Linked DNA regions of Pelodiscus sinensis. The protein of the gene in region 4 interacts with the protein of the main gene of each other region in a pairwise test. Links are inferred from orthologs where the notes say so. Each region holds a gene or a part of one and is shown on either strand. Other genes may lie near its edges. The genes, in order: PARK7, BTBD6, ETS1 and DAXX.

What was found.
Region 1: the proteins of DAXX (region 4) and PARK7 interact in binary tests that used the Homo sapiens proteins (3 or more experiments, as listed by UniProt). The link is inferred for Pelodiscus sinensis from reciprocal best matches to the Homo sapiens genes DAXX and PARK7.
Region 2: the proteins of DAXX (region 4) and BTBD6 interact in a two-hybrid assay, tested with the Homo sapiens proteins (2 studies listed by BioGRID and IntAct). The link is inferred for Pelodiscus sinensis from reciprocal best matches to the Homo sapiens genes DAXX and BTBD6.
Region 3: the proteins of DAXX (region 4) and ETS1 interact in binary tests that used the Homo sapiens proteins (3 or more experiments, as listed by UniProt). The link is inferred for Pelodiscus sinensis from reciprocal best matches to the Homo sapiens genes DAXX and ETS1.

Annotation. Positions count from the first base shown.
Region 1 is NC_134733.1:25,745,474-25,752,787, reverse strand, and holds the start of PARK7 (Parkinson disease protein 7), read right to left. Parts: upstream 3,016-7,314; 5' UTR 2,876-3,015; exon of another isoform or gene 2,812-2,875; intron 1-2,811. UniProt on the Homo sapiens protein: Multifunctional protein with controversial molecular function which plays an important role in cell protection against oxidative stress and cell death acting as oxidative stress sensor and redox-sensitive chaperone and protease.
Region 2 is NC_134714.1:16,046,059-16,053,741, reverse strand, and holds the start of BTBD6 (BTB/POZ domain-containing protein 6), read left to right. Parts: upstream 1-4,682; 5' UTR 4,683-5,453; coding exon 5,454-5,830; intron 5,831-6,343; coding exon 6,344-6,434; intron 6,435-6,679; coding exon 6,680-6,798; intron 6,799-7,027; coding exon 7,028-7,683. UniProt on the Homo sapiens protein: Adapter protein for the cul3 E3 ubiquitin-protein ligase complex. Involved in late neuronal development and muscle formation.
Region 3 is NC_134736.1:10,752,160-10,759,806, forward strand, and holds the start of ETS1 (protein C-ets-1), read right to left. Parts: upstream 3,011-7,647; 5' UTR 2,882-3,010; intron 1-2,881. UniProt on the Homo sapiens protein: Transcription factor. Directly controls the expression of cytokine and chemokine genes in a wide variety of different cellular contexts. May control the differentiation, survival and proliferation of lymphoid cells.
Region 4 is NW_027465970.1:5,384-12,519, forward strand, and holds the start of DAXX (death domain-associated protein 6), read left to right. Parts: upstream 1-4,129; 5' UTR 4,130-4,233; coding exon 4,234-4,446; intron 4,447-4,773; coding exon 4,774-5,085; intron 5,086-7,136. Other genes in the region: kinesin-like protein KIFC1, read left to right, coding at 96-263, 345-483, 638-777, 1,016-1,089, 1,231-1,306, 1,457-1,501. UniProt on the Homo sapiens protein: Transcription corepressor known to repress transcriptional potential of several sumoylated transcription factors. Down-regulates basal and activated transcription.

The DNA.
Region 1 (7,314 bases), on a different chromosome or scaffold from region 4:
GGATCTACTGGGGACTTCCCTGCTGACCCCAGACTCTGTGCGGTGCTGCCGCTTTGAAACGTTGTAAGGAACCTGACACTGAATGCCCTGCAGTGTTTCAAAGCGGAAGCACTGCACAGAGCCAGGGTCAGCTGGGGAGTCTCCAGCTGATCCCAGGCTCCACACAACACTACCACTTTGAAATGCCACGAGGAGTCTGAGGCCAGACTCCCCATGGTGTTTCAAAGCGGCAGAGCCACATGAAGCCTGGGGCCAGCTGGGGACTCCCCCCCCCCCACTCTCATCCCAGGCTCCACACGGCGCTGCCTCTTTGAAACACCATGTGCAGCCTGGGGACACCCCAGCCTGCCCTAGGCTGCATGCAGCTTTTCAAAGTGGCAGCGTCACGTGGAACCTGAGGTCTGGTCCCAGGCTTCAAGTTGCACTGCTTCTTTGAAGTGCCCCCTCTTCTCCCCCCCTTTTGCTACCTCTATCTGATAGAGGCAGCGGGGGGAGGGGAGGCAAAGGAAGGAGTGACTAGTCGACTATCCTGTCAACTATCTGATAAGCAAATGTTTATCAGATAGGGATGTGAAGGACTAGTTGACTAATTAGAACATGAGCAAAGACCTTTCCAGGGACTCATAACAGTGAAAGTTATGATCATGAGATTAATATCGCATTATTGTTCACTGAGCTGGGTAGTTGGGCAATCGAGCCATCGGACTTTGGAACTTGGAGCAGACTTTTTTTAGCCTGACCATTAAGAGATTGGTATTCCCAGTTATGGATATCTTTACATAATGAAAATGCTTTTACATTTGAAAAACCCCACATACTGTGGCTGTGTCTACACTGGGCCACTTATTCCAGAAAAGCAGCCGCTTGAATTTCCAGAAAAGCAGCGACGATTTACTGTAAGAAATCAGCTGCTTTTCCGGAAAAACTATGCTGCTCCCACTCGGGCAAAAGTCCTTTTTCCGGAAAACTGTTCCGGAAAAGGGCCACTGTAGACAGCACAGTAGGTTTTTCCACAAAAAAGCCCCGATCGCGAAAATGACGATCGGGGCTTTTTTCCGGAAAAGCGCGTCTACATTTTCCGGAAAAGCGTCCGTGGCCAAAGGGCTTTTCTGGAAAAGCATCCTGCCAATGTAGACGCTCTTTTTCCGGAAATACTTATAACGGAAAACTGTTCCGTTTTAAGCATTTCCGGAAAAAGGTGCCAGTGTAGACACAGCCTGTCAGAACAATTGTCTTGTGGCAACTTTATGGCAAAGAGATACAGAAGTTGTTATATCAGAAGACATGCACAATTTTAAAGCCATTTAGGCTGGTTTGCTATAACGATGTAGAGTGGTGAACATCTCTTACCAGCATTTCAATGCTGGTGCACTACATTGCTACAGTTATACATCAATACATGAGAAAGATAGATTATTTAGCTCTTATCTCAGATTTCTGAATCACCCATACAATTAAAATTTCAATTGGTTAAAGACTGTATGGATTCCTGGTTTCTAGTTTTCTAAGGGTGGTGATGTAAGGTCAGAGTTAATTATTTTTTTAAATCCTTATTATTTGGTTGATGGATAGAAGTGATTTTATTTGTGCATTAACTTTGAAGTTTCAGAAACCTTCCTTTCCATAGTTTGGCTCAATTTAGCATGGACATGACATTTTCCCATTTTTTTCCTCCTTTCCTTTCCCATCCCCTCTCTTTCTCTGCTATTTATTTGGAAACTGGACCCCTTAAACTCCATTCATCTGAAGAAGTGGGTTGTGTTAGAGAAGCCACAGGTGACCCAGGAGCAGATGAGATAAATGGAATCACTTTATTGCCCAAACACATGTTTACCTCAGACATTCAACACAACATCTGAGCTGCAACAGTTTTTGGCACCCATTACACCCTTTTAACTATTTTAGTATGTTAATTCACACATCTATCACTACTTTCCCTAAAACCTTAATAGTAATGTTAATGCCTACAAAAAAGAATATTAATAAGCAGGTGATGAATATTATAATACCTGCCCCTGATTACTATTTCCAGAATTTCTAATTAAATCAACACTTTCCTATGCTACAAACTTTCCAAATCAATAGGCTACAGCGATTACAAGAGATGTAGCTCTGAAAATCTCTTATATAGCACCAGTGAGGGTAAGTAAGTAAAAGGCACAACAAAGAGTAATTGCATACTTATTGATTTTTCTCAGATACAAAATGAGCATGTTTATAAATCAGGAAGCATAAGGGGACTCTAAATCTATCTTTCCAGACTGTAGAAACAAAGGGAAAAAACATGTTCAAGGGTAATGCTGTGGCTGAAGTCCTTAATTACCTGCCTACAGCCATCCTAGACCCCTATGGGTTAATGTAGCACTGTAAAGACTAACAAGATGGTTTATTAGGTGACGAGCTTTCGTGGGCCAGACCCACTTCCTCAGATCAAGTAGTGGAAGAAAATTGGCCTGACCATATATACCAAAGGGTACAATTAAAAAAATGAACACACATGAAAAGGAATGTGACTTGTCCTTTTCATGTGTGTTCATTTTTTAATTGTATCCTTTGGTGTATATGGCTGTGACTACTTTCTTCCACTATTTGCTCTGAGGAAGTGGGTCTGGCCCACGAAAGCTCATCACCTAATAAACCATCGTGTTAGTCTTTACAGTGCTGCATTGTCCAGCTGCCCCAGCCTGACACGGCTCCGCTTCTCTCCCTACGGGTTACCCAGCCCAAGGGCCGGCCCCCGCGGCGGGGTCACGCTGCTGGCTGTGGCTCTGCAGCGGTAACTCGCGGGATTAACGGAATGGGGAAGTAGGAGAGGCTGTCCGGTTGCAACACTCCGCATCATGCGTGCGCACGTGACCCCGCAGCGCTGACTGACCGGAGATTCCGGAGGGAGCGACCCTGCCCGGGTCGGCGCGCGGGCTCCTTGTCCCGGGGGCGGGGTGCCCCAAGCGGTTAGTCTCTGACGGGCCCCGTGTTTCCGAGCTGGCGGCAGGACCGCGCAGGCCGCCGCCGAGGGGGGAGGGGCGCTCGGCCCGCCGCAGTCCCGGGCTGCTGCCAGCGAGGAGCGCGCGCACGTCAGGCCGCGGGGCGGCTCGCGCCCTTCACGCGGCTGATAACGGCCGGCCGCTGCCAGGAAGCGCGTGACCTTTGCAGGAGAGGGGGCGCCGACGGGCCCGCGGCAGGGCATGGAGGGGAGGGGGCGATAGTGACGTCAGCAGCGTGCTCGAGTCACACCACCTCCGCAGCAGCCACGCCCCCTCACGCAGTCAGGCGGGGGGAGGGGGACTGCTCGGCCCGCCCGGGGAATCCTCAGGGGCTGCAGTGGGCGGGGCTTCCGCGAGCCGCTACAGGGGCCGGCTCCGCCCCCGTCCATGGGGGCTGGCACCACAGAGTCCAGTGTGCCCGCAATAGGGGACAGCGCTATCCTCATCCATAGGGACCAGTGTGCCCTCAATAGGGGACAGCGCTGCCCCATCCATAGGGCCCCGCATACCCTCAATAGGGGACAGCGCTATCCTCATCCATAGGGCCCCGCATGCCCTCAATAGGGGACAGCGCTGCCCCATCCATAGGGCCCCGCATGCCCTCAATAGGGGACAGCGCTGCCCCATCCATAGGGACCAGTGTGCCCGCAATAGGGGACAGCGCTATCCTCATCCATAGGGCCCCGCATACCCTCAATAGGGGACAGCACTATCCTCATCCATAGGGCCCCGCATGCCCTCAATAGGGGACAGCGCTGCCCCATCCATAGGGCCCCGCATGCCCTCAATAGGGGACAGCGCTGCCCCATCCATAGGGCCCCGCATACCCTCAATAGGGGACAGCGCTGCCCCATCCATAGGGCCCCGCATACCCTCAATAGGGGACAGCACTATCCTCATCCATAGGGCCCCGCATACCCTCAATAGGGGACAGCGCTATCCTCATCCATAGGGCCCCGCATGCCCTCAATAGGGGACAGCGCTGCCCCATCCATAGGGCCCCGCATACCCTCAGGTGGGGACAGCGCTGCCCCATCCATAGGGCCCCGCATACCCTCAATAGGGGACAGCGCTATCCTCATCCATAAGGACCAGTGTGCCCGCAATAGGGGACAGCGCTGCCCCATCCATAGGGGCCCGCATACCCTCAGGTGGGGACAGCGCTGCCCCATCCATAGGGCCCCGCATACCCTCAATAGGGGACAGCGCTATCCTCATCCATAAGGACCAGTGTGCCCGCAACAGGGGACAGCGCTGCCCCATCCATAGGGCCCCGCATACCCTCAGGTGGGGACAGCGCTATCCTCATCCATAAGGACCAGTGTGCCCTCAATAGGGGACAGTGCTGCCCCATCCATAGGGGCCCCGCATACCCTCAGGTGGGGACAGCACTATCCTCATCCATAAGGACCAGTGTGCCCTCAATAGGGGACAGTGCTGCCCCATCCATAGGGGCCCCGCATACCCTCAGGTGGGGACAGCACTATCCTCATCCATAAGGACCAGTGTGCCCGCAACAGGGGACAGCGCTGCCCCATCCATAGGGGCCCCGCATACCCTCAGGTGGGGACAGTGCTATCCTCATCCATAAGAACCAGTGTGCCCTCAGTAGGGGACAGCGCTGCCCCATCCATAGGGCCCCGCATACCCTCAGGTGGGGACAGCACTATCCTCATCCATAAGGACCAGTGTGCCCGCAACAGGGGATAGCGCTGCCCCATCCATAGGGTACTGGTAGGGTACCGACAGTCAAGGTCAGTATTACCTCCAATCCATAGGAGGCTGTCATGCCATTAATGGGGGGTCAATACTATCCCCAATCCATAGGGAACCAATATGCATTGCCCCTACATTAGCATCAGTGGCAATGGTCAGCACTCACCCTTTGCCAAATCCATAAGAACCTGGTCCATACTGCTACTGAACTGGCATCAGTATGGATCAGCACTACCTCCCAATCTATAAGAGATAGATATGCATTGCCTCCATGTTGGCTTCAGTAGCACTGGTCAGCACTAACCCCTACAGAATCAATAGATTCCACACAGCCCTCAAGTTAGCATCATTATACAGCACCAGCACCCCACTGCCCCCAGTTGGCATCAATAGGGTCACAGCTAATCCCTGATATCTGCAACCCACTCCAGCACAGGATTAATAGGGGACAGAATTAACCTTCCACAGAGCAATTAATATAGGGTAGCACTAACCCTCCCTTCCAGAGAAGGTATTAATACTACTCCAGGAACCTGATGATGATAATGTTTATTCTGTTCTGAAGCAGACTTTTTCCTTTCCTCAGTTAAATTATTTCTGGAAGCCTTCCATTATTACCCTGTAACATCTAAATTGGTCACTACTCTAAAATCATTAATTTAACTCAGAAGAAACAGCAGCTGAAAACAAACTGTGTCCACATTTTTGTGTGTATGGTCAAGTGCTTGTTTCATGAGAGAGAAGTCTTGTTATATGAATTTTTTTTAATTTATCTTGGAAATTCTAAGGAGCATCCCTTTGTTCACTTCCTTAGAAGAAGAGTAAACCTGCTAGAAAATTCCCTATAAAATCAATTACTTGAAAATTTTCCTTTATGTTAGTTTATATTTTTATAGCACTTTCCACTTTTCGTTTCAGTTGGCTAAGGCTTGGGACTTTCAAAATGCAGGACCAAGTTCTTACATTACATTGACTGAGGCAAGATAGGTGAAATCTTTTATTGAACCAACCCCAATTGACTGAAAATCAGGGCAGAATTTAGTCTAAGGAGCAATAAGTAATTGCAAAGTATTATTGTTCGGAACTAATTCTGACACAGCATAGTGGGTGTAAATTACTATTAATATTCACATTAAACTCATGTAATCCCAAACATGATGAACAATGATGGTTCTGTAATAATTATCTTCAGTTATGTACATATAATTAGTAAAATTAAGTTTATTCGATTTACTTTTGCTGTCACAATGCACTTAAGTCTGTCCTGCTGTTGCATAGAAAAATGTGCTAAACCTAGTGATGGGAAATCAGCTGTTTCATTTCTGTATGAAGGGTCACACTGCAGCCCACAAAATGTCATTCAGAAATTGAGATCAGTCGTAGTTAAATTTATCATAGTTCTGACGTCTTCATTTTTCTTCGTTTGAGAACAGGTTAAAATTCATGATGATAATTTTAATGTTATGGGGGCTGTTAACAACCTATTAAGTGATTAACACTCCCACCGCTGAATTTCTGTGATGCAGTTCATGGGATTTCCCAGTCAACTGTCAAACACTCATAGCAAAACACTGCCCTGTATGAGCTACAAGTGGTGTGTACTGTCTCAAACCTTGAGGAGTACTGTGGCACCTTAGAGACTAACAGATTTATTAGGGCATAAGCTTTTGTGGGTAAAACCCACTTCATCAGATGAGTTGGAGTGGAAATAATAGAAGCAGGGGTATATGTAAGAACAACAAAAGAAGTTACTTGTCAAATGTATGACCAATGTTCATAAGGATTTATGTCAGGGTGGGTGTATCTCATTTGCAGCATTTTATGTGGAGATGTGAATATCAAGAGGGGAAATTGCCTTTGAAGTGTGTTAACCAGTTAAGATCCTTATTCAATTCCAAATTGATTGTATTGAACTTGCAAATGAAATCCAGTTGAGCAGTCTCCCTTTTTAATTGGGTTTTAAAGTCTTTTTTGTAGAAGGATGGCTGCTTTTAAATCAATTATTGAATGAGACACATCCACCTTCCTCTTTATTTCTATTCCAATTCATCTGATGAAGTGGGTTTTACCTATGAAAGCTTATGCACTAATAAATCTGTTATGGTGTGTCTACACAGCAGCGCTAACTCGAAATAAGTTATGCAATTTGAGCTACACAAATTGCATAGCTTATTTCGAGCTTATTTCAAGATAGTGCCAATTTTGAAATAGACAGCTATTCTGACAAGTCCCTTAATCCTCCTAGAACGAGGCTTACCGGTACATCGGAATAGCAAGCCCGTTGTTTCGATTGCATTTTGAAATAATGGGCATTCTGTTAAGACACAGAAAATGCTATTTTGGGATACCGGACATATCCCAAAATAGTGTTGCTGTCTAGACGTACCCTTGGTCTCTAAGGTGCCACAGGACTCCTCATTGTTTTTGCAAATACAGATTAATATGGCTACCCCTCTGGGACTTTGGGTACGTCTAGACTACATGCCTCTGTCGCCAGAGGCATGTAGTCTAGATGTAACCTTTGTATCATACCTTGCTCTTCATGCTTGGAGGCTATTTTATTTAGGCAGTAACTTACATATAATGCTGATTGGCAGGGCATACATGCATCCAA
Region 2 (7,683 bases), on a different chromosome or scaffold from region 4:
GCTTTTGCAAATGCCTTTGCAGGACTGAGGGATCATTTAGATCCAAACATTTTAACGTTCACTGGTATAACAACATGTATATTAGCTTATGTATCTTTGTACCTAATTGAAAATTACCCTTTCAAACACAATGAGTCTGTTTAAAAACAAAACATTACTACAAAAAATCTACATGTATCTCCAAACGTAACCAGCTACTTTTCCTTAATCAAAATTCTAATCACAGATTCATGCTCCAGCAATGCAAAAAGTTGTTCATCACGCACATTAGAGCCCATGTAAAATGTCATTGACTTCAATGAAGCTAAGATTATTTACACCTAATGAGTATCTGCTCTTCAATGTATAATTTCAAATTTTAGTATTATCAGCAGCAGTCTAATAAAACAGCAAACCGCTGTCTGTCTGGGTAGTTGCTTTACCTAACCTAAACCAATTTTTAGTTTATCAAACAATATTTTAAAAGCTATGCTCTATGTATGTTTACTCTCTTTTTCTGGGGGGTATCAATTCCTCATTTCCTGCCAGCCTCTTATCACTTGACCCAAAATCTATGGGATATGGTAAATTGTTAACTGTTACACTCAATTCAATTTCCTTAGATGATTCCCCATTTGGGCACTTGAACTGATGAAGATGGTATTTCTGCTGAAAAAAAATTCAATTGTCTTACAGATTTGCATTAATCAAACCAGTTTCAATTTTACCATTAAGGTCAAATAATGGATACCCTATTGCAATTTCCATTTACCAGGATTGCACTACATACTGACAGACTTTCAGACTCTCGATTTAAAACACTGCATATTTTACTTTAACGCAAAAACATCCAGACAAATATTTTTCCCCAAAGAAAAAGTTTACAAAATGCAATTACCTAGTAAACATGATTATAAAAAATAAAACAAAATAGAAATATTAACTCCTTAAAGGCAATTAGTAAGGAAACCAAGTCATTCCCACTGTTCTCCAGTCATCATCCATATCACATGTAATATCCTGGACTTCTAATTGTATGTATTTTAAGGTACCTATCACCAAAATCTGAAAGAACACGCTAGGGAAATCAACTTTCAAATCCTTCAATTAAAATAAAACAACCATCATGATAAAGGTGTTTCAAAACTATTGTCTCATTTCTTTAAAAAAAAAAATCTATAGTTAACAAAAAACTAAAGAATTGTAAGTCAAACAATACAAAATAACTCTTTAAAGTAAAAACAAATTTCCCTAGTTTTTTAAATTTCCAATTTCCCTTTTACAATATTCCTAAACAACAAACATATTATGATAATGAGCTGGCAACTTCAAAATCTTCCCAGATTTACTTGGCAAGGTTTATACAAAAGGGGTCAACTTCAGTGGGAGCTGGGCCACTCATCACCTCAAAGAATCAAAGCTTCAAATAAGGGGAGGATTTTTTTTTATTTTAAATTCTTCAATGCACTTTTTCTCTATAATTTCTGTATTGTAGCTTTTAAGGAAATTATGTTGGCATTGATGCCCACAGATTATTTGATAAACTAGTTTACGCTAGATATTATTAATTTAAATCTTTAAAACTAGGAAAACAATTGGGATCTTGAAAAGTAGCAAATGCAAATTACGTAAGCAAAAATAAAAATTGAACAGAAAAGCTCTCCACCAACTGGCTGACCATAAATGGCTGCAATGCAATACTTGGAGTATCAAAATTAAACTAAGTCTAGGGCTTTTCCTTATTTTCTCAGCCTCTTAATTTTCACATATTGCGCAGGACACAGCACACCAACACCACTTGGGGGATGTTCCACTCGCCAAGGTCCAGCCAGGTGAGGAGGCAATGGAGCCCCCCACCTTTGAGATGCACGAAGGCGCCCTCCACCACCATGTGAACTCAGCTGAGCCTAGTGTTACACTGTTCCGTGGCAGGCTCCAGGTGTCCAGTGCAGGGCTTCATAAGCCATGGGAGCAGAGGGTAGGCAGTGTCCCCGACTATGCACATAGACATGTCCACATCCCCCATCCTGATGGTGCAGTCAGGGGAAAAAGTAATGGCGTGCATCTTTTGGAACAGGCTGGATTTCCTAAAGACATGGGCATCGTGCTTTCCCCAACCATCCAACATTAATGTCCGTGAAGCAACCCTGGTGGTCCACGACAGCCTGCAGGACCATAGAAATGTATCCCTTGTGGTTAATGTAGTCGGGTGCCAGGAGGCATACCTGGGAGGTCGACAAATGCCTTTGATGTCGACCGCGGAGCGTCCAGACTTCCGCGCTGAGCCGACAAACAGCTGATCAGCTCAGCGCAGCAGCCATGTAAATTTAAATGAAGCAGCAATTATTTAAATCGCCGCTTCATTTTTCTATACCGGGTAGTCTAATATACATGTCTCTGTCGCCAGAGGCATGTTGTCTAGACATACCCCAGGAGACACATTGTGAAATCCAAGAGCTGGTGACTGCTTTCCAGCAGGTTCCGCTCCATGGCAGAAGTGCTGTAGTGTCCACAAGAGCAACCAGAGTAGGCAGTGGAACGGGTTTGCTGTCCCTCAAGGAGGTAGGCAAAAGAGAGGAGCCTGGGACACAGCTATGGGGGGGGGGGGGGGGTGAGGAGAGAGAGAGGCACAAGCCTCAGCTAACCTCAAGCACAAGCCTCAGCTAACCTCAAGAAGCAGACACAGGAAGTGTCCTGATGCCCTGCCCACAGCGATTCCAGGGGACTTTAAATGCAATTGAGGCTCCAATGGGTATGAAAGCTCTACTTGGAAATAGCTCAGCATTATTTCAACAGGCATTTGCTGTGTAGACACACTATTTCGAAATAAGCTATTTCAGAGTTTTTCTTCTGAAATAGCTTATTCCAAAATAAGCATGCAGTGTAGATGTACCCTATACAGAACCCTGTGGACTTCAGGGGGAATTCCATGCATTTGCAGGGCCATTCTCAGTGCAGCAGCTTGAAGGATCAGGGCAAAAGCTAACAGTTTTGTTTATTTATGCTGCTAATCAGTGTGCACTCAGAAAGAACTTCATACACTTGAGAAAGTTCCCCCCACACCCTTCCTTCCTAGCCTACCTTTATAGGACACCTCAGCTTTCAAAATTATTAGGATGAAAAAATGCAAGACTCGTTTGATCATACAAAACAGAGTGTATAAAGGTATGTGTGGCCTGTGAACAATTGCTGCAATACCCTGTGCTTCTGGATGTTAATAACATAACACTTCCAGAAATCGCTTGTTTCTCTACAATCCGACACCAGGGCAAAACCCACCGAAAAAAAGGATAAAACTCAAACAGACACTCTCAGGAGCCGGAGTGTCAGCCTAGGAGCAGAAGGCCTGTAGCTGAGGAAACAACCAACAGGTTGAGAATTTAACCTAAAGCAAACTGTCCACCAGTTGCCTTTCCTACTGCAACCCCACTCTTACATACTTGGGGAGTATGCACGATACCTTAGCTTCCACTAATCCGAATTTAGCCCAAAGGTCTGCTACAGCGCTGAATATCCCTCTTTGCTTTTACCCCCGGCGCAGCTTAATGTCTTGTCTGTACTCCTGTTCCTCCTAAAAGTTCAAACGCTGGAGGCAGAACTGGCCTGACAGCAAGCAGCTTTGCGCGAAAGGCGGCTGCAGAAGGCCTCGGGGCGCCCTCGCTCGGTCCGGCTGAGAACTACTGGCTGCCCAGCAACAGGATCTCAGACCCAGCCCCCTCCCGGTTTCCAACCATTTCCATAATCATGGCTTCTGACTCCATGGAGCAGCCTGCCGTGCAAACTTTCCCAGCTCGGTGTGGGCGGAGGGACGCCTGGTGAGGGCAGCAGGTACAGTAACTCTGACTTTTTGTGTGGTCTGGGACCGGCTGGGTCCCTGCAAGATCCCCATCCTCTCCCTTGGCAGCGGCGGCAGCAGCTGAGTTCCAAACTGCAGTGCTGCTGTGCCTCTGCGTGGCATTTCTGCCTGGATTGCTAGGGCTCCCACTCTGCAACATGTCAGACTTGCTCTGCTGCTGCAAGTAACGCCCGGGGTCCGAAAGAAAACAAAAGCCCCGCAGGCTCTTGTGTACACGGGCTGGGGGTGGGGAGAGGGAGAGGGAGAGGGAAGCGGCTTTCAGGAAGAAAAGTCGCTCCGATCGGGAGCTCTGCCCCATCTGTTTACTGCCTTCCTGATTCACCTTGGCTTAGCATCAAAGCCCGAGACCAGCCAAGCTGAGAGCTGCTCTCGGGAGGGGGAGGCGCACCGGGGAAGACGCTGCAGCGGGGAGGACAGGGGGGGCTTTCGGGGAAGTTTAACGCAGACTGCGAATCTCCCGTGGGTCTGGGTTTACTTTTGCAGAGGGCTGGAGGGAAGTTGGCGGAGTAGGTCCCCACTGCACCAGGAAGGGAGGGGGCTAGTGGAAAGCGGGGGGGGGGGGTGAATGTTGGGGCATCGCTGCGTTTTGCTCCATTGCAGCCTTTCCTGGGCGGTACATTTTGGCTCCCTGTAATTTTCCCAAGCGGCTGGGGCTCGGGAGGGAGCGAGGGGGGCGAGCTGGTGGGTGAGTAGGAGGGAACGGAGAAGAATGACATATTGTCTGGGAAGGGAGGGAGCCCGGCCTCCCCGGGGCCCGGGCCCCGCCGCTCCCCATTGGAGCAGGCGGCGTGACGCGCGGGGCCGCGGCTGGCTATTTGAGGCAGGAGGCGGGGGGAAGCAGGCACACGCACACACACACACCCCGAGGAGTCGCGCACACGCGTGCTGACACGGGCGCCCAGCCCCGCTGCTGGCTGAAGCTGCCGGGCTGCAGAACCGCAGCCGCGCAGGAAGGGAGGGAGGCGGCAGCGCCTGCTACTCGCCGGGGAGACGTGCCGATCGGCCCTGGCCTTTCAGACGCATCCTCCGGCCACGGTCGCTGCGCTGGGCACGGACCCTCACCCCGGGGGCATCTAAGCAGAACTGAACCTGGGAAAGTTTTGTTCCACTAGCAGATCGGCGGGATTTACCGCATCTGCAGCCCCTCGTCTGAGGAGGAATTACAAGATGCGTACTGGGAACTGAAGGCAGCGTTTGTTCGGCCCTTGTTTAAATACCGTGGCTGGGAAACTCTTGAACTTGCTGGTCTCTCCAGATCTTTAACCCTTGCACGGGAAAAGGATTCGAGTTGCCTCTCAAAGAGGTATCAGTGATTGGCAGCAGCTCAGCGCTGGCTGGGTTTTAACTCTTGGAAGATTTCTGTATTGACTCTGCTGCTTCTCCTTTTCGGTAAACTCTTTGCCTGCATGATCCCTGCTGGGGTCTTCCTTTGCAATCCTGCCTTTGATCTTTGAGGCTGGGACCTTCTTCAAGCAAAGGTGAGCACTGGCTCGGATTCATTAGGGCACCGTATTGCCTCACAGACAAGGTGCTTTGGGCTTTTGAGCAAAAGCCGCAGTTTAAAATCATAAGTATCCAGGTAAAGGGACCTGACTTTAGAAAAGCTGTTCCCTTGCTCATGCCACTGCCCCATGACTGCCTCAATGGCAGGATCATGAAGTGTTTGACTTTCTTTCTTCTGCTTCCAGAGACCTTAAAGAAGTCCAAAAAGAGTGTGAGGTCAAACAGCAAGGTGCCAGCATGCTATGAGATAGTGCCCTTGTCCCTGAAGAAGAAGATGGCTGCAGAGCTTTACCCTGCCAGCACGAACACCAATATTGCAAACAGTAATAACGCTGCTGCTGCCACTGTCGCTGCTGCTGCCAACAGCAAGAAAAACGCCTTTCAGCTTCAGCAGAGTGCCCAGCCTCCTCCACCACCGCAACTGCAAAACCTTAACAATAATAATTTGGAGAGTTCCAACTGGCAGTCCTTCCACCCCACTCTGCGGGAGAGGTAAGAGCCAGACCAGCCAGAGTGCACAGAGCCTGCCTGAGCAGCCCTTGCTCTTCACCCCATCCCCCTCCCAGCCTGCAAGAGAACTTTGGGGAGTTAGTCCCATGGCAATTCCCCCTCCCTCTGGCAAAGGCACAGGATGGGTTGTTTAGCAACAAGCAGCCCTGTCCCCATGTCTCTTCTTCCTCCCCCCCATTGTTGGGTGAAGTCAGGTTTCTGAAGCCAAAAAACTGAATTGTAGCCTCACAGCCACAACACACATACACCCTAAGGTGGAGCAAGTTCAAGTATTGCAATTGCACACTGGCCACCTTCTGCCCTCAAGTCTCACTTGTGAAATCTTGCACAGTGAGAGAAGGTATCCCACTGTGTCCCATTATACCAGCTGTAGCAAGGGGATGGAGTAGAGGGACTGAAAAAAGGGATAGATTTATGTAGCATTAGCTCAGTCCGTGGCATCAGGTAATACAATTGGCAAATCTAATTTGGTTTCTCCCTTCCTGTTACTTTCAGGAACGCACTGATGTTCAATAACGAACTCATGGCTGATGTGCATTTTATCGTAGGTCCCTTGGGGGCCTCAAAGAAAGTTCCAGCCCATAAGGTTTGTGCATCTGATTTTTTTCTCCCCCCCCCCCCCCCCCCCTCCTCCTGCTAGGGCAGTGGAGTTAATACAAATATTATTAGACAAGTTAACTCAAATTATTCCTTTATACCTTAATTCTAATGGGACAATTTAAAGGATTTCTGTTTGAACTGAAGCTTTTAAGTTTCCCTCAGTACCTCTTCTGCCTGTTAGTATGAGATTACTACAGCTATATGCTACATTTTGTTTTTGTTTTTTAACAGTATGTTTTGGCAGTCGGTAGCTCTGTCTTCTATGCTATGTTTTATGGGGATCTTGCAGAGGTCAGATCTGAAATCCATATACCAGATGTGGAACCTGCAGCCTTTCTAATCTTATTAAAGTAAGTGGTCATTACAAGTCTACAAATTATACAGAGACTAAAAGTGGTTTATTTAAAAAAAAAATCTTTAAAATCTTCTAAACAGCCTTTAGGAATGTGCAGGTATTACACTTTATTAAATGTGCTGATAAATGTCAAATTATGGACATTACTACTTGTCAGGACAATTGTAGCTTAATCTCTCACAACCTATGTCGCTTTTAAAAATACTTTTTTTTTTCCTGTTTAGGTATATGTATAGTGATGAAATTGACCTGGAAGCTGACACAGTGCTTGCTACCTTGTATGCTGCCAAGAAGTATATCGTCCCAGCCTTAGCAAAGGCTTGCGTCAATTTTCTGGAGACTAGCTTAGAGGCTAAAAATGCTTGTGTTCTGCTGTCTCAGAGCAGACTCTTTGAGGAGCCAGAATTGACCCAGCGCTGCTGGGAAGTAATTGATGCTCAAGCAGAAATGGCATTGAAGTCAGAAGGCTTCTGTGAAATTGATCAACAAACACTTGAGATCATTGTAACCAGGGAAGCACTAAATACTAAGGAGGTGGTAGTTTTTGAGGCTGTTCTTAATTGGGCAGAGGCTGAATGCAAAAGACAAGGGCTACCAATTACACCAAGGAACAAGAGGAATGTATTAGGAAAAGCTTTATATTTGGTGCGAATTCCCACAATGACTTTGGAGGAGTTTGCCAATGGAGCTGCTCAATCTGATATCCTTACCCTTGAGGAAACGCATAATATATTCTTATGGTATACAGCTTCAAATAAACCCAAGCTAGACTTTCCACTGACAAAAAGGAAAGGACTTGTACCTCAAAGATGCCATCGATTTCAATCATCTGCATATCGTAGTAACCAATGGAGGTACAGAGGTCGCTGTGACAGTATCC
Region 3 (7,647 bases), on a different chromosome or scaffold from region 4:
GACACTTCTGATAAACAAAGATTAAATGACTTGACCAAGGCCAAATAGCAATTTAGTGAGTTGTCATGGGTAGAACCTGGTATCTTGACTCCCACTCTCCTATGTCAAACACTACAATATGAAATGATTATGTCAGTTGGTTGACTTCAGCAGGTTTTTCCACCACAGAGAGGTTCCTGAAGGGAAGGTTCATACAATCTTCTCATGCAGAGTAAGGTAGTTATTGCAGTAGGGAGCTACAACTTAAGCAATGTTTGTGGCACCGTAATACCTTGCACTCCCTACAGAACAAATTGGACTCTTAACTTAAGCCAAGATGAGCTAATGCTGGCACACAACCCTTCCCCCACTCCCTGCCCCCATTTTTGGGAAAAGTGCCTTCTGGTTAAGAATTCTCAGATTCTATACCTACCTCATTAGCCTTTGACAAAATTACTTCTCGGCAGCTAATTCCCTAATTTGATTTGAATAGTGGCCCCATTAACAGCACTGCAAGCCAGTTGGTAAACTGACAGCTGGAGGTCATTTCAGGGGCACCCAACGCTAGCCAAACACTTTGCTGATTAGGCAGGCACCTAACCCAAAGAGGTTGCTGCTGTTACATCTTTTGCAGCTGCTATATATGAAATTGCAGGAAGATGCAGAGGGGGCTGGGGCTGGGACAGGGAGAGTGAGGTCATTTGTTATTCCACGCCAGTGTTTCCAGCAATGAAACAGTTGGTTGAAAAAGCATCCTGGGTCAAATCTGCAGCTGGTGTAAATTGACGTAGTTCTTTTGTGGAGCTAGGTTCGTTTTCAGCAGCTGTTGAAATGCTAAGGAAAATGGCCCAGTGGGGAAGGTGGCTATCCTGGAATGTGAAGAACCTATGTCCAGTTTGCTATGCTGCCACAGAGCTGGAGCAAGTCACCTTGAGCCAGATGGTTAGATGTATTGAAATGCCTCAAGGCATTTTGTGGAAATTTAAAAGTGAGACTTTTGAGAGCAATTGACTCCCACGAATGAGGCACTCAGCATCTCTAGGCACTTAAATACATCTAACAGGAGTCTCAAGTGGGAGCAGAAAAAGTCTTTGTTACCTCTGTATTTGTGTAACCATCACCAGGTGGATTTGAACCTAGGACCTCTGAAGCTGAGTATAGAAAACTCTACCCTCTGAGCTAAAAGCCAACTGGTACAACTGCAATATGGTGTCTAGGTCTGATGCAATTTGAGAGGGAGGTTGGTATATTGGGGGTGGGTTCAGAGAAGAACCACCAGAATGATTAAAGGATGGGGAAGAAAACCTCAGCATGTCAGGCTCAAGGTTCTCAGACCATTGAGCTTAACAAAGAGAAAGGTATAGGGGTGACAGTACATAGATGGTAAACTTGGTGACAGTACATGGATGGGAAACAAATATTTAATAATGGGCTCTTCAGTCTAGCAGAGAAAGATACAGCATGAGCCAACAGCTGTAAGCTGAAGCTAGACAAAGACTGATTTTTAAGGGTGAGGCTCAATTGTTTCATTGGTTAATTACAAAGGGTCATAATTGGGTTCTCCATCAGTGACAATATTTAAACCAAGATGGGATGGTTTTCTAAAGGTTCTGCTCTAGGGATCATTTGGGGGAAGTTCTCTGGCCTGGGTTATACCAGAGATCAGATTAGATGATCACAGTGGTCCTTTCTAGCTTTGGAATCTATGAATCTAGCTATATTGTGAGGCTCAAAGGTTGCAAGGTGCCTGTGTAAGTACCAAAGATAAACATCTCGAAGCAATCTGGCCAGGAGAGCTCTGAGCCATAACTGGTTAAACTCTTTCAGCACCAAGACTTTTATAATAAAAATCAAAGCCACTCAGCAATCTGTGCTTGGGCCAGCATTTCCTGTTGTTTAAAGCAAATGTTCCCATGTAACACCAAACTTGCTTTAGTAGAAAGTTTTTTAAAATGACAAGGGGGAGGGGGGAGATCAAAAACATAATAAAATCAGCATGGAATAAATACTCACCAGTAAACCCCTTCTGCAGCCCACCCCCTCTCCCTGAAGGTATCAGATGGCAGAGTCAGAGTCAATGGGACCTTAATAGCAAATTAGTGGCCACATGCAAAGCATCAAATTAAAGACTAATGGAAACATGGAAGACCTGACTCTGCATTTAGCAGAGGCTCAAAGCTCCCAGTGAGTTCCAGAGAGCCAGCGGGAAGGCTGGTTTTGCAAAGGATGTAGGATTCCATCCTGCATGATGTGGAATTGAAATCCTTGCACGGATAAAGTGTTTTCACTGTTCCCAACTTCAGCTGCTTTCAGAAGCAAAGAACCAAAGCTGGTACATGTCTGTGTTACATTTGTTTTTTTCCAGTAATGTAAGGGGGAAAGGAGGGGTACAAGCAATGTTTCCTACAAAGACAGAAATGGCCAAATTATTAGCTGGTGGAATCAGCTTCTCTACAAAAGTCAGTGGAGTTGCACTGATTTACACCAGATGAAAGTTTGGCACTAAACATTTTGCTGATTCGCCCCCTCCACTGTGGAAGAAAACTCTTTAACCCACTGAACAACAACAAAAATACACCAAATTAACAAAAATAATCTTGACTAGTCTGTCTTTCATTGTAACTTGTTCCAATACAGGTTCACTAATCATGCCAAGAGGCAACTTTCCACCCCACACAAGTAAAGCACCAATATTACCTTAACCTCATTTAATACAAAAAACATTTCAAAGGACCCTAAACACACCCAGATGGAATCAGCAAATAGATATATTTCAAATCAGCTAGGTGAAATTGCTAATGAAAAGAGAAGGAGTAAATATCCTAGCAGGTCACCAGCAAAGTAAATAGCCTGAAAATCAACATAAGGTAGAGTTTAGCATAGAGTCCAGAGCTTCACTTACTACTTTACTGAAAGACCAGAGAAAAGAGTTGTTTCCTCCACAGCTTCCCACACTTGTCTTAGGTCTCTTGCCAACTACCTGGTGAAATTCTCTGCACTAGAGCTAAAGAGGATGGAAATACCATAATGTTTCTAGCGGGGCCGCCTATCAAATAGAAAGGGGGTGTGGTCAGGACAGCAAACCCAGGGCGGCTGGAAAGGGCTAGCTTTGAATTAAGCTCTGACACAGCACCAGCAGCAGGGAAGGGAAGCTAGTGAAGCCACTACTGCCAGATGTGACTACCCACAATGTGAGCATGTTAAATTCCCACTTGTGTTCACAAGAGTCGGAGAAAGCCTCTGTCAGAATCTGTCCCAGGGAGAGGGATTGTGATATTTGCCTTCAGTGATTTGTGAAGCCTTTATATAATTTAATAAAACAAATTAGCTGAGGATCTCCAAGCACTTTCCAAGTATTAGTTGGTTAAGTATCACATCGTCACTGGGAAGTATTAATGCGTCCCTCCATGAGGCGGGGGGACTGGCTGAATGTACCTAGCGACACATTTCCACATTGGAATTCTTAAGTGAATTTTCTTCACTTATGTTCCAATACCATGATAACGGGCATTAATATAAGGAATTCAATGTGGACGGAATAGATTTTTACTACAGACAGTTCTTTCCTGTGAGTCTTGCCCCCTTGCTCAGTCTCTAACTGACTGCCAGATTTGAGGTTGGGAAGGAATTTCTCCCCTGCTCAGACCAGCAGAGACCTGGAGTCGGGAGAGGGGAGGGCTTCCTCTGCAGCATGGGGCAAGGGTCACTTGCTGATAAGAACTAGAGTAAATGGTGGATTCTCTGTCACTTGAAGTCTTTACATCACGATTCGAGGATGCCTCTACTGACAGACACGAGTTATATGGGCTTGTTGCAGGAGTGGGCGGGTGATAGGGTTACCAGGTGGCTTCCAAAAAAAATACCAAGCACACTTGATCTCAGATCAAGCCGGTGGCAAGCAGGGCTTGTAGAGGGGGTCGGGGGCAGCGAGGCTGGCCAGGGGAGAACCAACCAGCGGGGAGCAGGGCTGGCGAGAGTGGGGCTGGCTGAAGGGGGAGAAAGCAGGGGAAGAGAATAGGGCTGACCCAGGCGCGCACAGATCCCAGAGCGCTGCCTGTCCTGCGCTCGGTCCCAGCGAAGCACGAGCAAATCCGGCCGTGGGGATTCCATCTCGCCCCGGCCCTGCCCCACCCTCACGTAGTTGTGTATTGCCTGGCTGGTAGACACACTCACACAGGCAGTTCGCAACTACGTACGGATACTGCTAATAATAATGAACTTACCTAAGTAGAAAATACCAGACGTTTTATATGTCCAGTATTTCTCAATTTGTTTCCCAAAGAGAGCCCTCAAATACCGATCTGTCCGGTTCAAAACCGGACATCAGGCAACCCTAGCAGGTGGGGTTCTGTGGCCTGCAATATGCTGGATTTAAGACCAGATGCTCATGATGGTTCCTTCTGGCGTTAAAGTCTATGGGCCTATTATCAGTTTCCTGTGGAAAATCTCTAGACAATTTACTTGCTAGAACAATTTCAGAAGTGGCAAATTTTAATACTCATAGGAAATGAATTTAGAATTTACAGTTAATCATTATCCAGTCAGGAAACTGAAATATGTCATGTGACCCAGGTGTCCAGTCAAAGCAGCCTGAATATTGCATGCTCACGACAAACTGAATGAGATCAAGCTGCAGATCAAGCATTCTTTTGCAGAAATTATTCAGGGAAAAAAGTTTATCTATAGGGCTACGTCTACACTGGCCCCTTTTCCGGAAGGGGCATGTAAATTTCATGAGTCGTAGTAGGGAAATGCGCGGGGGATTTAAATATCCCCCGCGGCATTTAAATAAAAATGTCCGCCGCTTTTTTCCGGCTTTTAAAAAAGCCGGAAAAGAGCGTCTACACTGGCCCCGATCCTCCGGAAAAAGCGCCCTTTTCCGGAGGCTCTTATTCCTTCCTTTGAAGTAGGAATAAGAGCCTCCGGAAAAGGGCGCTTTTTCCGGAGGATCGGGGCCAGTCTAGATGCTCTTTTCCGGCTTTTTTAAAAGCCGGAAAAAAGCGGCGGACATTTTTATTTAAATGCCGTGGGGGATATTTAAATCCCCCGCGCATTTCCCTACTACGACTCATGAAATTTACATGCCCCTTCCGGAAAAGGGGCCAGTGTAGACGTAGCCCAGGGGTGCAGCTACACTGCACAGTAGCTCGAAATAAGAGCTATGCCCAATCTGAGTAAATACCCTCGTGACATGGCACATGTGTGCAGTGTACCTTATTTCAATCTTATTTTGAAATAGCTTATTTCGTAATTTGGTGCTGTCTACACAGCACCAAATTTCAAAATAACCCGCTATTCCAAAAAGTCCCTTACTCCTCGTGGAACAAGGTTTGCAGGGATGTCGGAATAGCGTGCCCATTATATTTCAAAATAACAGGATTTCTGTGATGACACGGGTAGCTATTTCGGCATACTCTGGTATCCTGAAATAACATTGCAATGTAGACGTAGCCTATGTGTTTCATGGCATCCATCACCGTAGCACCTAATCGCTTTCCAGGGAATTAAATATGCAAAGTGAAGTTCCTCGTGGACTTTACGGCATCTCATGCTCTTCTGGAATCCCTGCTTCTAGGAGGGGCTGTTTGTTCAAATACATACAGGAACAGATTTATGAAGATATTTTAGTATCTACAATAGGTACCGAGTAGGGTTTTCTATCTGCATCTTTAGTCACCTAAATACCTTTTAAATCAGGCCCCCATAATTTGTTGATTTTTTTAAACTTATGGGTGAAGTTTCTCTAAATAATGAATAAATTCTAGAAATCTGCTGATCTCAAAAGATTTCCACCCTCTTGGGCCGAGGTCCCATGAAGACAATTGGAACCATGAGATTTCAGGTTTACCAAGAGGAATCAGAAGATCAGCTCCTTTGGGGTTTTAAGCCTCAAATCCAACATCTCACCTAGCCCCTCAAATTCTAAGGGGTTCCATTTTAGCCCTTCCCTGCATTACTGAGAAATATGAGACAACAGGTGTCTTGATGGCACATTATCTGTGGAACTCACAGTCATAAGGAATGCATCATTCTTGCAGCTATTTTAGTCCGGGAAATCATTTACAGGGTTCCATATTCTAAGGAAGGAACCCAGTCTGCTGGACTTTGATAAAAAAAAAGGCTCTTTCAAATCTGAGCCAATAAGAATGGCATATATCCAACAATCAAAGTGTAATCTGGGCATCTCTTCCCGAGGCTGGAGGATGATGGCAGCTGCAAACAAGATGTCTTTAAGGTGTGGGGGAATGAGAGTTTATTTAACTATAGCAATTGATTATTTATATTAACAGTAGCATCTAGAGGCCACAAATGGGAGCATGGTCCTATTGTGCCTGGCATTGTACATATAACTAGGCAGAACCAGTGCCTGTTCTAAAAAGTTTTCAATCTAAATAGACAAAGGGAATATTATAATTCCTTTTTTGCAGGTAGCTTAATGTTAAACACAAACTCATAGAGAAAACCTGACTGAATCTAGCACTGAACCCAACTCCACTAAGTAATAGCCTACTGTTTAGCCACAAGTCCATCTTTCAAAGCAAGAAAAAGGAAGTACAGATAGCCCTCTACCACTGATGGGCTTCAAGGCTCCATCTATTCTGTACGTGGCACAGAGCCATATGCTGTGTCAGCATTTAATGAGCAGTAATCACTAATCAAGATACTAATTCATGACAGTGTCTCAAAAATGAATATCCACATCAATATTCTGCAGAGCCTTTTTTTGGTTTTGCTTAAGGGTTCTTGAGTATTGGGCACAAAAAAAATCTCTATTGGTTTTAGTCAGACATTTGTTTAATTTTTCTAGTACCCATTCCCAAGGCCTTTACGGGTGCGTCTACATAGCACCCTTACCTCGAAATAAGCTACGCAATTTCCTCCCCACAGAGAATGCGATTGGAAGGAGTTCCCCAGAGGAGAATGGGCTGGATCCTCAGCTGGCATGTCCTCCAAGAGAGGCGTGGCTTTGCTGCATGAGGCACCGGCAGCCTGCACGAGAATGAAACAATGCCGTAAGGAGAAGAGGGTAGCAGGCCCTTTGGTCGAGCAGACGCTATGCACCACTGGCTGGCACGATCCCGAAAGTATTCCTGGGCTGTGACAAATAAGCAATAAGCAATAGCTTATTTCAAAATTTGGAGCTGTCTACACAGTGCCAAATTTTGAAATAAAGCGCTATTCTGACAAATCCCTTAACCCTCATGGAATGAGGTTACAGAGATGCCGGAATAGCATGTCTGTTATTTCAAAATATATTTCAAAATCACGGGTGCATTTAAAGATGCGGAATTGCTCTTTCGGGATACTTCTGGTATCCTAAAATAGCCCCAGTGTCTAGACATGTCCTAAATATGCAGGGCCTGATCCTGCAATGCTCTAGGAAGTCAGGAAAATGGAGGGTGCTCAGCACTTCACAGGATCCCAATGATCCTTCTCCCATGTGAAGCCCATTGCCTCCAGGGGGGAGCCAGAAGAAACCCTGAGGGTCTGATTTTGGAAGGTGCTGAGTACTAGCAAAATTCCCTTTGAGTACCCTAGCAGCAGGGATGAATCATCCCTTGACTATGGCTAAAATCCTTCAGGGTACGTCTAGACTGCAGACTTCTTTCAAAAGAAGCTTTTTTGAAAGAGCTCTTCCGAAAAAACGTCTTCCAAAAGAGAGCATCC
Region 4 (7,136 bases):
CCTTTGTGTCTACCCCCCGAATCCTGGCAGCATCCCTGGTTCCACACCTGTTCTCATGACACTGATCTGGATTTTGTTTCCCACCCACACCTCAGTACCATTTCACAGCCAACTTCTTGGAGATCTATAATGAGTCGCTGCGGGACCTACTGGTGGGACGGCCGGAGCGGAGTGCCGAACTGGAGATCAAACGGGTCAGCCAGAGCAGTGAAGAGCTGCATGTGCCCAACCTGCGCTATGTGCCCGTGAACTCCGAGGATGAGGTGAGCTAAGATGTAGCTATGCTTGAGCCAGAGAGCTTGGGAGCAGTTCTGACCCCTGCAAACACATCCTGTATCCCCCAGGTGCTGAAGCTACTGCGAACAGCCAAGGCCAACCGCTCTGTGGCAAAGACAGCTTTAAATGACCACTCCTCCCGCAGCCACAGCCTTTTCCAGCTACGCATCGAGGGCTGGAACCCAAGCCGGGACTTGCACAGTAGCTGTGAGTGGGGCAGGAGGAGGCTGGGGCAGCTAAACAATAACTTGAAAGCAGAGCTTGAGGAGATTGGTTGGCAGGACCACTTGGGGTCAGCAGCCTTACTGGATGGAGTGCCCTTTCGCCTGTCCCATGTTCAGTCCCTCATCTTTCATTGCAGCGGTGCTAAGCCTGGTGGATCTGGCAGGCAGTGAGCGACTGGACAAGTCCTTCTCCAAGGGGGAGCGGCTGAAGGAGACCCAAGCCATCAACACTAGCCTCTCTACCTTGGGATTGGTCATCATGGCACTTTCTAACAAGGTAACAGCTCAGATATCCCATGCACCATTAGCAGCAGCCTCCCTGGCCCAGTAGTCATAGTGTTGAAGACAGTGACACATACCACATACGTGCATCACAATCCAAATACTGGTCCTCCCTGTATCTGCTCTCTCCCTGACTGGGAGAGGGGAGCCACAGAGAGGTGGAGGCCTGTCTGAAGTACATGCTATGGAATCTCCCTGGCCAGAGGACCAACATGCCTCTTCCCACTCTGCAGGAGCCCCATATACCTTACCGGAACAGTAAGCTCACCTACCTGCTGCAGAACTCGCTGGGGGGAAACTCTAAGATGTGAGTAACATTGGGGGGGCAGTGGGAATAATAGGGTGAGGGGCAGGGCTATGGGGCAGGATGGGGTGGGAGTTGAAGAACAGGGCTGGGACAGCAGATAATGGGCTTCTGCTCTAACTTCTGCCTTTCCCATGCCCCCAGGCTGATGTTTGTGAACATCTCCCCCCTGGAGGAGAACTTCTCAGAGTCTCTCAACTCTCTGCGCTTTGCCAGCAAAGTGAGTTTGTGTGGTGGGGCGGGGAGAGGAGGGGAGAACTGAACCAAAGGGAAGGGGGTTGTTTGTGTTACATCCCCCCCAGTGTCACTGCTGTCTGGCAGTGGTGTATCCCCTGTTCCCTCCCCCACTTTCACTTCTCTCCCTTTGCAGGTGAATGAATGTGTCATCGGGACAGCCCATGTGAACAGGAAGTGAGCACCGGAAGCTGTAGCGGAGGGGGGGAGGAGATGCTCTTGGTTTTTAATAGTGGTATGGAGTGTGGGGGGGAGTGTCTTGTAAATAAAACATGTTTTGCAGCTGCTGGCTGTGTGGGGGACAGGGTGAGGGGCAGTGTGTGGGGGGGAAGGTTGTCTGATGTGGTTGCCAGCTGGGCCTTGGCTGAAGTGCTGGCAGCTAGACCATGAGCCTCCTGTCCCACCTCCTGCGCCTCAGTGGTCAGCCCCTCTCTACCTCCCCCAGCGACGATGGGGGTGGGGGAATAACAGCTGTTCATGTTCACGCCACCGGCCGCCCACCCAGCCACCCACTCTCCGCACCTTCCCTTACACGCCAGCGATCTGCTACGGGCGCATCGATGATCGCTTCCCCTTCCATACGCGGCCTCTGGGGGCCGCCATCGTGTACGGCATACAGGCTGCTGACGGTAACCCGGAAGTAGCTGCAGCGACGAGGGAAGACTTGTGGCGTACGGAACAACCACGCATGCGTGGAAGGGGCATGCCGTAGGCTACCGAGCCGGGGTGCCATCTCGGTGTCTGCTGCACATGCGCAAACGCCACTGTCAGATGCCATCTTGTCACTCGGCTGTCTTCAGACCGCGCGTGCGCACTAAGTGGGTGGCGTGCTAGAATTGTGCTGTCCGTGTTGTGCGACTTCCCCTCGGGTTCAGCCCGGCCTCTCCTTCAGGGGCGCCCGGAGGGAATAGAATAACTCAGCACCCCTATAAATGGAATGGAACAGGCCAACCAGCTCCTTGCAGGGGTGGGCTCTTTAATTGATTCCAGGCCTCTGGCTGGCGAAATAAGGTCACGTGGCGTAAGAGAGCGAAGGTATTTTCCGTACAGGAAAATGGCCGCTACCATGGGAGTGTAGCGTAGGGGCCGTAGACGAAGGCGATAACTACGACTGGACGGCGTCACGTCATGGGCGTGACGCCAGACCGGAAGCAGCGCCCAGTTCTGATTGGACCCGAGATCCGGAACCCTTCTCCGTGCGCCGCAATGGTGGCGCCCAGTGGTGAGAGGGCCACTTCCGGCGCTGCGCAGTCCGGGCGGCAGGGGAAGGCGGTTTTTCCGGTGCTGGGCTTCGGCGGAGAAAGCAGCCCAAGAGGCGGGTGAGCGCGCGGGGGCGGGGGGGCCTGGTGCGCGGGGCAGGGCTGGGGGGCTTGGCGTGGGGCGGGGCGGGGCAAGGAGTGGGGGAGGGGAATCAGGGCTGGGGGGCTTGGCGCGGGGCGGGGCAAGGAGTGGGGGAGGGGAATCAGGGCTGGGGGGCTTGGCGTGGGGCGGGGCAAGGAGTGGGGGAGGGGAATCAGGGCTGGGGGCTTGGCGTGGGGCGGGGCGGGGCAAGGAGGGGAATCAGGGCTGGGGGCTGGGCGTGGGGCGGGGCGGGGCAAGGAGGGGAATCAGGGCTGGGGGCTTGGCGTGGGGGAGGGGCGGGGCAAGGAGGGGAATCAGGGCTGGGGGCTTGGCGTGGGGCGGGGCGGGGCAAGGAGTGGGGGAGGGGAATCAGGGCTGGGGGGCTTGGCGTGGGGCGGGGCGGGGCAAGGAGTGGGGGAGGGGAATCAGGGCTGGGGGGCTTGGCGTGGGGCGGGGCGGGGCAAGGAGTGGGGGAGGGGAATCAGGGCTGGGGGGCTTGGCGTGGGGCGGGGCAAGGAGTGGGGGAGGGGAATCAGGGCTGGGGGGCTTGGCGTGAGGCGGGGCAAGGAGGGGAATCAGGGCTGGGGGCTTGGCGTGGGGGAGGGGCGGGGCAAGGAGGGGAATCAGGGCTGGGGGCTTGGCGTGGGGGTGGGGCTGAGGGAGGGGCGGGGCAAGGAGGGGAATCAGGGCTGGGGGCTTGGCGTGGGGGTGGGGCTGAGGGAGGGGCGGGGCAAGGAGGGGAATCAGGGCTGGGGGGGTGGGGCTGAGGGGGGCAGAGCAAGGAGAGGGGGGAGGGGAAGCATGGTGGTGGGACTGAGGGAGGGTCAGGGCAAATGGGGGTGGGGGCCTGGCAGGAGTGGGGGGCAGCCCATCAATCTGGGATGGGGGGGTGTATAATCAGTGGCCTGGAGCTCCTAGCCTGACACTTGCTCTTAGGGTGGCTGCCCCCTGGGATGTGGAAACCTGGGAGTGTGGTAGGAGCACAGGGGATACTTTCCTTCTGCACCAGCCCTGGTGCCACTGCTGCTAGCATCGTGGGCCCAGCTCTGCAGCCCACAGTTCAGGATGGATGTGGCAAAACTGGAGCCACAGGAAGGGCTGGAAAACCAGGGTCCAGGAGTTCCAGCTGTTTAGCTTTGGGAGGAGACCATGAATGGAGTGTCTTGGTAACAGGCTCTGGGTGCCTCCATACAAGCCAATAGAGTCTTCAGTGTAGTGGAGGAAGATCTGCCAGGACCAAAGGGCTGGGACTTGAAGGGAGATCCATTCAGTTGGCAGTAACGGACACGTTTGTACCTTGAGGGCCAGACCCAGGGGAGTAGTCTCCCTGGGCGTGGGCCAGTGTTTGATCGGAATTGGATGTTGGCTGACAACTCTGCCCCAGGAGCCGTGTGGGGGAAGTTGTGTTCTGAGGATCACAGCTGTCCCTCTTGGCAGTGTGTGAGTGCCAAGACTGGGGGCAGTGCTGGGCAGGGCTGGGGGGAGCTGAGCAGACACTTCCTTGGTACTCGGGTGGGGAGAGACTGTATCCAGTCTGTCTTGCTGTTCTTGACCTGGGCAGATGGTTTGTCCATGCTCAGTTCTGAGGTGTGTCCCCCACCTTGCAGCTGTCAAAATAATACATCATGTGGGAGATATTGTGTATGTCCTTATTCTTCCACCCCTGTTTTCCTTTGGTTTGGAGGCCCAAGGCAGGAGATTGCTGGGGGGGGGGAGGGGCACCCTTTGGTGTCGTCAGAGAGATCCCAGGAGCAGTGCTTGGAAGATAGAGCCTCCATAAGCCAGGTATCTTGGACCCTTGTCTGCATGCTGGGACTCTGTACGGGGTGGGTACGATGCCTGTGCCTCTGGGGGGTGTAAAGTCTGCCGATGGTGATTTAGGAAGAGTACTCGGCAGGCAGGGGGAGGTTGGGATCTGGGATGGCACAGGATAGAGGCTGTGTATGAGGCTGCAGGGAGAGGCAGGCGCTGGATTCCAGGATGGTGGCTCTAGGACAAACTCTGGTTCCTGGCTGGGACACGGGAGTAGAATTGGCATTGGGGGTGGGTGCTGCGCATGGGGTGAAGAAGAGATGTAGGGACCAGCACTCACCAATTCATCTCCCCACATAGGCACTGCGGCGTGTGACTCAGACCACCTGCACCGGGGGTTACTCCCCATACCTGCCCCCAGGATGCGCCCAGCCCTCAGGCCTGCCCCGCAGCTCTGAGCCCCAACTTGGCCAGGTACCTGCGCCCATGGCCACTGCAGTGGCAAGCAACATCATTGTCCTGGATGATGAGGAGGAGGGGCTGCCCCCAGCTACGTCTCCAGAGCCCACCCCTGCCTCCCCCCAGCCCAGCGGGGCCTCAGACAAGAGACCAGAGCCTGTGACGCAGGATGGTGGCAGCTTCAAGGCTGAGAACGAGCGGCTCTTTGAGGAGGTGAGAGCCCTTGGCAGGGCCCCACCCTCCATGTATCGCCTAACTCCTCAGCCATGTCCTCGTGTATCCCTTCTCCATATTCTCTGCCCAGCTCAGCCAGCCAGGCCCCGCCTCTGGGGCTGTATGGGAACTGATGCCCCTAGAGTGCCCCATTTTCCTCGCCAGCCAGCCTGGGGGGCTTGGGGTGTATGGTCTGTCGGGCCTAAGTCTGCTGGACTGACCCTGCCTGGTCGGTGAGTCTGAGCCCGGCCCACTCCTCACTCTTGAGAAAAGGGCTTGGCAGGGAGGCGCATGGGGCCCACGACGCAGGCAGTCCATCGCTTGTGGCCTCTGTGAGGACTGAGAGCAGCTCTTCAGGGCTGACGCAGCTGTGGGGAGGGGGCTCTTCTCCAGTGCCTGGAGCTGGGCCTGTGAAGCAAGGTCCTGTCCCTCCAGCCACTCATGGGATGGGGCCAAGCCCTCTCTCCGGAGCTGGGTCTGCTCCCCAAAGAGCCCTGAGACATGGCCTTGCTGCCCTGGGCTATGACACTGCCTCCCCGACCATGTCTGTGTCCTGCGGGACCCCCACTGTCCATGTGACCGTGTCTGTGCCCTTTGGGGCCCACCCCTGCCGTCTGTGCGGAACCCCCCCCGCCATCTCTGTGACCGTGTTTGTCCTGTGAGCCCCCCCTTGTTGTCTGTGTGACGTGTCTGTGTCCTTTGGGCCCCCCCCCGCCATCTCTGTGACCGTGTTTGTCCTGTGAGCCCCCCTTGTTGTGTGTGTGACCGTGTCTGTGTCCTTTGGCCCCCCCCGCCATCTCTGTGACCGTGTTTGTCCTGTGAGCCCCCCTTGTTGTCTGTGTGACCGTGTCTGTGTCCTTTGGGGCCCCCCGCCATCTCTGTGACCGTGTTTGTCCTGTGAGCCCCCCCTTGTTGTCTGTGTGACGTGTCTGTGTCCTTTGGGCCCCCCCCGCCATCTCTGTGACCGTGTTTGTCCTGTGAGCCCCCCTTGTTGTGTGTGTGACCGTGTCTGTGTCCTTTGGCCCCCCCCGCCATCTCTGTGACAGTGTTTGTCCTGTGAGCCCCCCCTTGTTGTCTGTGTGACCGTGTCTGTGTCCTTTGGCCCCCCCCGCCATCTCTGTGACCGTGTTTGTCCTGTGAGCCCCCCTTGTTGTCTGTGTGACGTGTCTGTGTCCTTTGGGCCCCCCCCCGCCATCTCTGTGACCGTGTTTGTCCTGTGAGCCCCCCTTGTTGTGTGTGTGACGTGTCTGTGTCCTTTGGGCCCCCCCCCGCCATCTCTGTGACCGTGTTTGTCCTGTGAGCCCCCCTTGTTGTCTGTGTGACCGTGTCTGTGTCCTTTGGGGCCCCCCCGCCATCTCTGTGACAGTGTTTGTCCTGTGAGCCCCCCCTTGTTGTGTGTGTGACCGTGTCTGTGTCCTTTGGGGCCCCCCCGCCATCTCTGTGACAGTGTTTGTCCTGTGAGCCCCCCCTTGTTGTGTGTGTGACGTGTCTGTGTCCTTTGGGGCCCCCCCGCCATCTCTGTGACCGTGTTTGTCCTGTGAGCCCCCCCTTGTTGTCTGTGTGACGTGTCTGTGTCCTTTGGGGCCCCCCCGCCATCTCTGTGACAGTGTTTGTCCTGTGAGCCCCCCCTTGTTGTGTGTGTGACGTGTCTGTGTCCTTTGGGGCCCCCCCGCCATCTCTGTGACAGTGTTTGTCCTGTGAGCCCCCCTTGTTGTGTGTGTGACCGTGTCTGTGTCCTTTGGGGCCCCCCCGCCATCTCTGTGACCGTGTTTGTCCTGTGAGCCCCCCCTTGTTGTCTGTGTGACCGTGTCTGTGTCCTTTGGGCCCCCCCCCGCCATCTCTGTGACCGTGTTTGTCCTGTGAGCCCCCCCTTGTTGTGTGTGTGACCGTGTCTGTGTCCTTTGGGCCCCCCCCGCCATCTCTGTGACAGTGTTTGTCCTGTGAGCCCCCCCTTGTTGTCTGTGTGACGTGTCTGTGTCCTTTGGGGCCCCCCGCCATCTCTGTGACCGTGTTTGTCCTGTGAGCCCCCCTTGTTGTGTATGTGACCGTGT